2 linked regions of the Canis lupus familiaris genome follow. The protein of the gene in region 1 interacts with the protein of each later gene in a pairwise test. Links are inferred from orthologs where the notes say so. Each region holds a gene or a part of one and is shown on either strand. Other genes may lie near its edges.

What was found.
Region 2: the proteins of DRAP1 (region 1) and GTF2B interact in binary tests that used the Homo sapiens proteins (3 or more experiments, as listed by UniProt). The two-hybrid records come from large-scale screens. The link is inferred for Canis lupus familiaris from reciprocal best matches to the Homo sapiens genes DRAP1 and GTF2B.

Annotation. Positions count from the first base shown.
Region 1 is NC_049239.1:51,852,008-51,856,154, reverse strand, and holds DRAP1 (dr1-associated corepressor), read left to right. Parts: upstream 1-1,404; 5' UTR 1,405-1,524; coding exon 1,525-1,566; intron 1,567-1,818; coding exon 1,819-1,891; intron 1,892-2,002; coding exon 2,003-2,096; intron 2,097-2,394; coding exon 2,395-2,514; intron 2,515-2,637; coding exon 2,638-2,731; intron 2,732-2,904; coding exon of another isoform or gene 2,905-2,971; coding exon 2,972-3,060; intron 3,061-3,406; coding exon 3,407-3,512; 3' UTR 3,513-3,643; downstream 3,644-4,147. Other genes in the region: C18H11orf68 (UPF0696 protein C11orf68 homolog), read right to left, coding at 1-248, 947-1,080. UniProt on the Homo sapiens protein: The association of the DR1/DRAP1 heterodimer with TBP results in a functional repression of both activated and basal transcription of class II genes.
Region 2 is NC_049227.1:60,037,167-60,040,814, forward strand, and holds part of GTF2B (transcription initiation factor IIB), read left to right. Parts: intron 1-896; coding exon 897-1,043; intron 1,044-1,175; coding exon 1,176-1,305; intron 1,306-3,648. UniProt on the Homo sapiens protein: General transcription factor that plays a role in transcription initiation by RNA polymerase II (Pol II). Involved in the pre-initiation complex (PIC) formation and Pol II recruitment at promoter DNA.

The DNA of each region.
Region 1 (4,147 bases):
CATATGCTGCAATCCAGCCCACGGGCTCAGAGTTGGGTGAGCCAGGGTCCCCATAGCGAGTAACTTGGGATGGTGGGTACTTGGCCAACCAGGCATCCAGCTCGGTGGCAGGTGTGGTGCGAGCATCAAACACCAGCCAGGGGTCCATGTCAGCTGCCATGGCCTCTGCGGCCAGGTGCTCAGCAGTGAAGCCATCCTCGCGGCCGCCTGGAGAGTCTTCCTCCTCCATCTCTTCACCTGGCTCCATCCTGCCATGAAGGAACAGAGTTAGAGCAGGTCCAGGACAGACGTACAACGTGCTGGGCCCTAGCTGGTGCAGCCAATGGGCTTAAACTCCGTGGCCTTAGGCAAGACTTAAGGTCTGGTGCCTCAGCTGCCTCATCTTTACAGTGGACAAAAGCTGTTCCTGTCCCGTAGAGCTATGGAGCATTAAACGCCTAAGGTGGAATAAGCGCTGCATAAAGGTTATTACTAATGCTATTACCACTCTCCCCAATTTACAGACCAGAAAATCGAAGCTCAGGGAGAAGTGACCCACCCAAGGTCACACCTGCAATGAGTGACAGGGGCCGAAATGTGAATTCAGGTGTGGGAGCAACCAGCCCAGCTACACCTCCCGGCCCTGCCCGGAACTGGCAGGCATCCCGATCGCAGGATTCAGCGGAGGGAGGCAGAGAAGCGCACTTTCGCGTAGCATCGAGGCAGGCCCAGCAGGACCAGACCCCCGGGCTGGCGCTGTCGGGCCTACTTGAGCACGAGCACATTGATGCCCGGAAAGAGCCGTGACCAGTCCAAGGCCAACGGGGCGACAGCCGGACTGGAACCCAGGCTTGGTAGAGCCTACGAGAGCGCCAGCCTCGGGCCCGCCGCGCCCGCCGCCATTAGCGCCCACAGCCCGAGCCGCGCCCCCGCCCAGCCCTGCCCCCTCCCGCAGCCCCGCCGTCACCTCCGGCCTTCGCCGCGCTCGGCGCCGGCCCAGCCCCGCGCCCGGCTACGCTCCTGCCGGGGCTCCGCGCCGCCGCCGCCGCCGCCGCCGCCCCCGCCGCGCCCCGCCCCCGCCACGGCTGCCGCCGCCGCCATCTTAGCGCCCGCCGCCTCAACAACAACTTTATAGACAAGCGCAGCACGGGGCGGGGCCGCCGGGCCTGTCGCCCGCGCCGCGGGGCGGGGCCTGCGAGGGGAGGGACTGACCCCGGGGGCGGGGCCGCCAGGGGAACCGGGGCGGGGCGGGGCGGGGCCTCGGGGGCGGGGCTAACGTTCGCTTTCCTAGGCTTGGGGGCCGGCGGGAGCGGCGCTCCGGTCCCGGATCGACGCGCACCGCCCGGGAGGCCGCAAGGGGAGGGCGCTCCGGCCCTGCGAGCGGCGTCCTGACCGGCGGCGCTAGGACCGCGTGGGGAGCGGCGGGGGCGGAGCAGGCGGCACCAGGACCCGGGGGAACCGCGGCAGGCGGGTGGCGAGCAGGCCCGGGGGCCGGGAAGCTGCGGGCGGCGGCGCTGGGCCCGGCGTGGCGAGAGAGGCCCTGAGATGCCGAGCAAGAAGAAAAAGTATAACGCGCGGTTCCCGCCGGTGAGCACGTGGCCAGGCCCCCGAGGAGCGGGCCGGGCTCTTTGGAGGCTCGGGCCCGAGCCGGGCTTGGGGAGGTTGCGTGGGGGGGCGGGCGCACCGTGGTGTTCGGGGTACGAACGCCCCGCCCCCTTCCGTGCCCTCCCGGCGTCCGGGTCCCCAGCCCTCTCTCCCGGGAGAACCTCTCTCGTTAGCCCCCAGCACCCCTTTCGGGGATGGAGGCGACAGGGTCCGAGTTTTCTGCCCCCTCCCCAGGCGCGGATCAAGAAGATCATGCAAACTGACGAAGAGATTGGGAAGGTGGCGGCGGCAGTGCCTGTCATCATCTGTATCCTGTCGGGGCCTGGCCAGGTTGAGGGACCTGGGGTAGGGAGGGAGCCCGGGGTCGCCTTGTTTAGGTTGGGGATCCCCCACCCGTGTTCTCCTTGACGCTCCTCAGCCCGGGCGCTCGAGCTGTTCCTAGAGTCGCTGTTGAAAAAGGCTTGCCAGGTGACCCAGTCCCGAAACGCCAAGACCATGACCACATCCCACCTGTGAGTGGCCTGGGAGCTGGTTGGGCCCAGTGGAACCTTGCCCCAGGAGTTCACACACTTAGGAGAGGTGGGAGGCTGCTGGGAGACCAGCAACGCCTCGAATATGGGTGGGTTTGAACTGGGGGAGGAGGGGTTGGGTGGTGTAGCAAGGCGAGCAGGTTCCGTAGTGGAGATGGGATGGAGGTTCTCCAGGCTCTATCCTCCTGATATCCATCTCCTGATATCTCCTGCTGTCCCTTGCTGAGAACCCAGACATCTGGGCCCCAGCTGAATTCCATCTTCTCCTCACCTCTTCCAGGAAACAGTGCATTGAGCTGGAGCAGCAGTTTGACTTTTTAAAGGATCTGGTGGCCTCTGTGCCTGACATGCAGGGAGACGGGGAAGACAACCACATGGATGGGGACAAGGGTACCCGCAGGTGGGGAGCCAGGGCCAGGTGTCCAGGCAAGGAAGGCCAAGGCCAACTGGGGTTGGGGGTGACTGGGAGGGGGTGGTCAGGGATGGTGAGACCTCTGGGCAGATGGACTGTACCTTCCCAAAGGGGTCGGAAGCCAGGCAGCAGTGGCCGGAAGAATGGTGGGATGGGAAGCAAAAGCAAGGACAAGAAGCTGTCAGGGACGGACTCAGAGCAAGAGGTGAGTGAGGCCCGCAGCCCTCTGGTCTACTGTGTGGTGTGGAGGGGGTGGTCTTGTATCTGGCCTAGCATGCTGGCTGGACACCCGGACCCATCCTCACCTATGGTTTTTTGTAAATTAGGGCTGTAAAGTTAAGGCTAGAGAGTTCAATGTCTTGTCCCTGCCGCTCCCAGGGATCTAGGCTCGCCAGTGATGGGCTCATGCTTTTCTTGTCACTTCTGACCCCTGCCTTGCTCCCAGGATGAGTCTGAGGACACAGACACTGAGGGAGAAGAGGAGGCACCCCAGGCGCCACCCCAGGCTGGCCATCCCCCTGCCCACTTTCAGAGGTAATCAGCTTGGTGGCACCAGATGAGGCTAGCAGACTCCTCAAGGCTGGCCTGCTCTTGTGGCCACTTGGTTTTGTTGTTTGTGGAAGATTTGGTGGATGAGAGGGGAGGAACTGAGGAGGGCTTAAAGGCAGAATGCTGCTGTCAGAAGATCCCCTCCCCTACCCCCACCCAGCCCCATTGGAGGGGGCCTGGGCAGGAGCTGTGTGACCTGCTCTGGGTTCTTCCCTTCTCTGGGCTCGGCTGCCCCTGGGTACAGAAGGCCGGGGGCTCCATGCTCACAAGGGTGGGGTAGGTGGGCACTGGCAAGGGGCCTGATCTTTCTCTTCTGCTTTCTGCCCTGCAGCCCCCCGACACCCTTCATGCCCTTCACTTCGACTCTGCCTCTGCCCCCAGCACCCCCGGGCCCCTCAGCACCTGACGCAGAGGATGAAGAGGACTATGACTCCTAGCGGCCTCTGCCCCCCCCCCAGGCCACACCCCCTTTTAGTTGGTTTTAGTTGCTCTGGGGGGAGGAGAGAAGATAGAGCTGTTCTTAAATTTATTAAAAAATTAATAAAAGGGAACACCAGTGTCTGTCCCAGCCTATGTCCAGGGCTTTGTGGCCACCTCCCCATCCATCTACCTGTTTTCCCCATGCTGAGCTGAGGCCAGAAGTGGTGGTAGGCAGGGCAGCAGCTGAGTGAGGGAGGCTCCAGAGGCCATGGTCCTGCCAGGGTAGGAGCAGGGGTGCTGACAGAAGGCAGAGTGGTGGTGGAGGGCTGGAGCCAGAGGTGCTGGTTGTGCTGGAGGATGACCTGTCCTGTTTTGCTGTGTGACCCTGGCAAGGTTCCTATCTTTGAGTGGCCTCTCCTTATCTCCCCGGTAGAGATCTTTCTGCCTACTCCGGGCTACTGCAAATAGACAGATTGGACAAACAATGGGAAGAGGACTTGCAAGCTATAGAGCTCTGTGCCTGGTGCCATGAAGGGCGTGTGGGAAGGGGCAGTGGGAGCAGAGACAGGTGGGATTGTCAGGGGCCTCAGAGATCAGCTTCTGAGCAGGAGAGTGACCCATTTGGTCAGTCCACTCCCATTTCTGAGTAGAC
Region 2 (3,648 bases), on another chromosome or scaffold:
CTAGCTTTCAGCCCACCTTGGATTTTGACATGCCTTCCTTTACTGAGCTTAATCATTTCTAGCTTTCAGCTTAAAGTGAGAAACATGTGACTATTCCTCTGACTTAGAAGCCATTATAGGGTTATTAATCGGCCTAATTTCAATATTGTTGAGTCTCAGGGAATAGGGAGGCCCAAGGAGAGAGGGAGAGAGATGGGGAAACAGCTGCTCAGTAGAACACACAAATTTATTAAGTTTGCTGTCTTAAAAGTGTGCAGTTTGTGGAGCCCCAAAACAATAGTAACATCAAAGATCACAGATCACTGTAAGAAATACAGTGAATAAATTTGAAATGTTACAAGAATTACTAACATGTGACAGAGACCTGAAGTGAGCAAATGCTGTTGGAATAAGGGCGCCAATAGACTTGCTCAACTTGGGTTGCCTTAAACTTTCAGTTTGTTAACAGTACAAAAACACGGTCTCTGCAAAGTGCAGTAAAATGAAGCACAATAAAACAAGGTATGCCTTTTCTTCCCATTAATAATTGTGCTGGCTTTGGGCCTGGGAGAATGATTTTCTAATACAAAGAAATACCCATTTGTAATATTTTGTGAGTTTGTAATAAAAAAAATGGCTTTTGAGTTTTATTTGCTTGCCTTTATAGCACCTTTGGAGATGATCCTTTCATTTTTCTCCTTAGGTCTATTAGGTGATGGTTTATACTCTTGAGCTCTCTCACAGGTACTCATTTACACCATCTCAACCTGGTACTTATTCTACTGAGGATTAGAGAGGAGGCACAGGGTAGATTTCTTGGGCTTATACAGAGTGTATAAGTTATGTTTCCTTAGAAATGTCTATTCATTCAGATTTAAAAATTTTTTTGCATAAAGTTATAAAACCTTGTTTTACAGGGTACAGGAGCTGCAAGTTTTGATGAATTTGGCAATTCTAAGTACCAAAATCGGAGAACAATGAGTAGTTCTGATCGGGCAATGATGAATGCTTTCAAAGAAATCACTACTATGGCAGACAGAATCAACCTCCCCCGAAATATAGTTGTAAGTTTTTGTCTGTCTCCTTTAAGCCATTCTGACATTGACTTAGTGTAATTTATTGAACACATGAAATTTTGATATTGCAACTAATTAAATGGCCTAGAGTTAATTAAACTTAGTTTCTTTGCTTTGAAGGATCGAACAAATAATTTATTCAAGCAAGTATATGAACAGAAGAGCCTGAAGGGAAGAGCTAATGATGCCATAGCTTCCGCTTGTCTCTATATTGCCTGTAGACAAGAAGGGGTTCCTAGGACATTCAAAGGTAAGTTTTTAATTGCAGAGATACAAATATTCTCTGTGTTAAAGTAACAGACCAAAGTCAAGGAACTTGGACACCACATAACTAAGTCAGGTTTCCCTGGTTACGTACGATATCCATCTTGGTATCATTTCCAAAAATACCTCTTTAATTTGTTCTCTGATAAAAATTAATTCTGTGATCTGAACCATGTTCTTCTCAGGCTCTTTTCCCATGTAAAGTCATTTTAGTCCATGTAAGCTCTGTGTTCTTTGCTTGTGAGATCTTTTGAGCTGACTGCATTTTGTGGCCTTTGAGGCCTGTTATCATAAGCCAGAGTATACCTTTGTTACTGGTTAAGTCTGTACACTTGATGCACAGAAAACTATTTCTAAGACCATGCACAGGTCTCTACAGGTGAAGGAGTCAAGCCTTAGAAAACATCAGGGACATTTTTCTCAAGTTCTGTAGTTTGCACTTTCACCCTTAAGTTGGAGGGTTTGAAAGAACTAGTATTTTTCATCCAGTTTGTATTCAAGATTAATATAGGACAGCTTATTCACAGTGCTGCTGTCTGTGACCCTTATTGCTCTGACTTTCTCCGCCAGAGTTCATTTCAGCTTAAGATTTTCATTACCTTTCATTCACCCATGAATATCTTACAATGAAGCAGTGGCTTTTTTTTTTTTAATTTTTATTTATTTATTCTTGAGATATAGAGACAGGCAGAGACACAGGCAGAGGGAGAAGCAGGCTCCATGCAGGGAGCCCGATGTGAGACTTGATCCCAGGTCTCCAGGATCACGCCCTGGGGCTGAAGGCGGGGCTAAACCACTGAGCTAAACCACTGAGCCACCGGGGCGAGGCAGTGGCTTTTATCCTCCTCATCTTTTTGTTTATTACAACTAAAACTAAGGCTTTTGTTAAATTTGTGTTTGGTAGTTTAATTTTTAGAATAACAGAGTCAAATACTTGATCTCATTTTGTTGTTATAGCCTATGACCCCAGGGATTGCATATACATATGACATTGGGTAGCTTGAGAAGTATCCTTTAGCTTTGAGTATATTCTTTTATCTCCTTGATACACACTCCTTACAAAAGATTTATACATAAATATCAATGGAGTTTTGGATTATTTGAAAAAACTTGTTTCTTTGAATTGAAACTTGTTAGTATTTTGAAATAATAAAAACCGACATTTAACTCATTTCAAAGACTTCTTTAAAGTGTGATAAACATTTAAATTAATTGAGGGGGTGCCTGGGTGGCTCAGTCAGTTAAGTATCTGATTCTTGGCTTTGGCTCAGGTCATGATCTCAGGGAGATCATGTGATCTAGATTGATAAGTGCCGCATCAGGCTTCAGGCTCAGTGCGGAGTCTGCTTGAGAATCTCTCTCCCTCCTCCTCCCCACTGCTCGTGCGTGCTCACTCTAAAACTAAATATATCTTTTTTAAAAAAATTAACTGAGAAATTTTAAATTAGCTCTATGGGAAGTATTGAGAGGCATGTTTTGTTCTTTATTGAGGTAACTGGTATGTTATATACCGTGTGTGCCTGTGTGTGTACACCATATATACCATATATACTATATGTGCCATAGGTGAGTTCTAGTTGCACAATATTATACATTTGACCCTTGAACAACACAAATTTGAACTTCACACATCTAATTATATGCAGATTTTTTTTTTTTTTTTTTTACATAGTGCAGTACTGTAAGTGTAGTTTCTCTTACGATTTTTTTTTTTTTTTAAAGATTTTATTATTCATGAGAGACACAGAAAGAGGCAGACACAGGCAGAGGGAGAAGCAGGCTCCATGCAGGGAGCCCGATGCGAGACTCAATCCCAGAACTACAGGATCATGCCCTGAACCAAAGGCAGATGCAACCACTGAGTCACCCAGGCGTCCCATCTCTTATGATATTATTAATATTGTCTCTGGCTTTTTTGTTAAAATACAATCCATAATATACAAAATGTTGACTATTATTGCTAAGGCTTTCATTCAACAGTATGCTACTGGTAGTTCAAGTTTTGGGGAGGGTAAAAAGTTATTCATGGATTTTTGACTGTGCTGGGAGTTGGCACCCTCTAATCCCTGAGTTGTTCAGGGGTCAACTGTAATTTGACATATGTTACATACTACAAAGTAATCACTAAAATCCAGCTACCAGCCATCACCATATAGTTGATTCCCTTCACTCATTTTGCCTACTCAACTCCTTTCCCCTCTTGTAACCACCAGTGTGTTCTGTGTCCATGAGTTTTTATTTGTTAATTTTTTGTTTTCGTTTTCCACATATGAGTAAAATCATATGGTATTGGTCTTTCTCAGTCTTCGTAGCATAATACTTTCTAGTG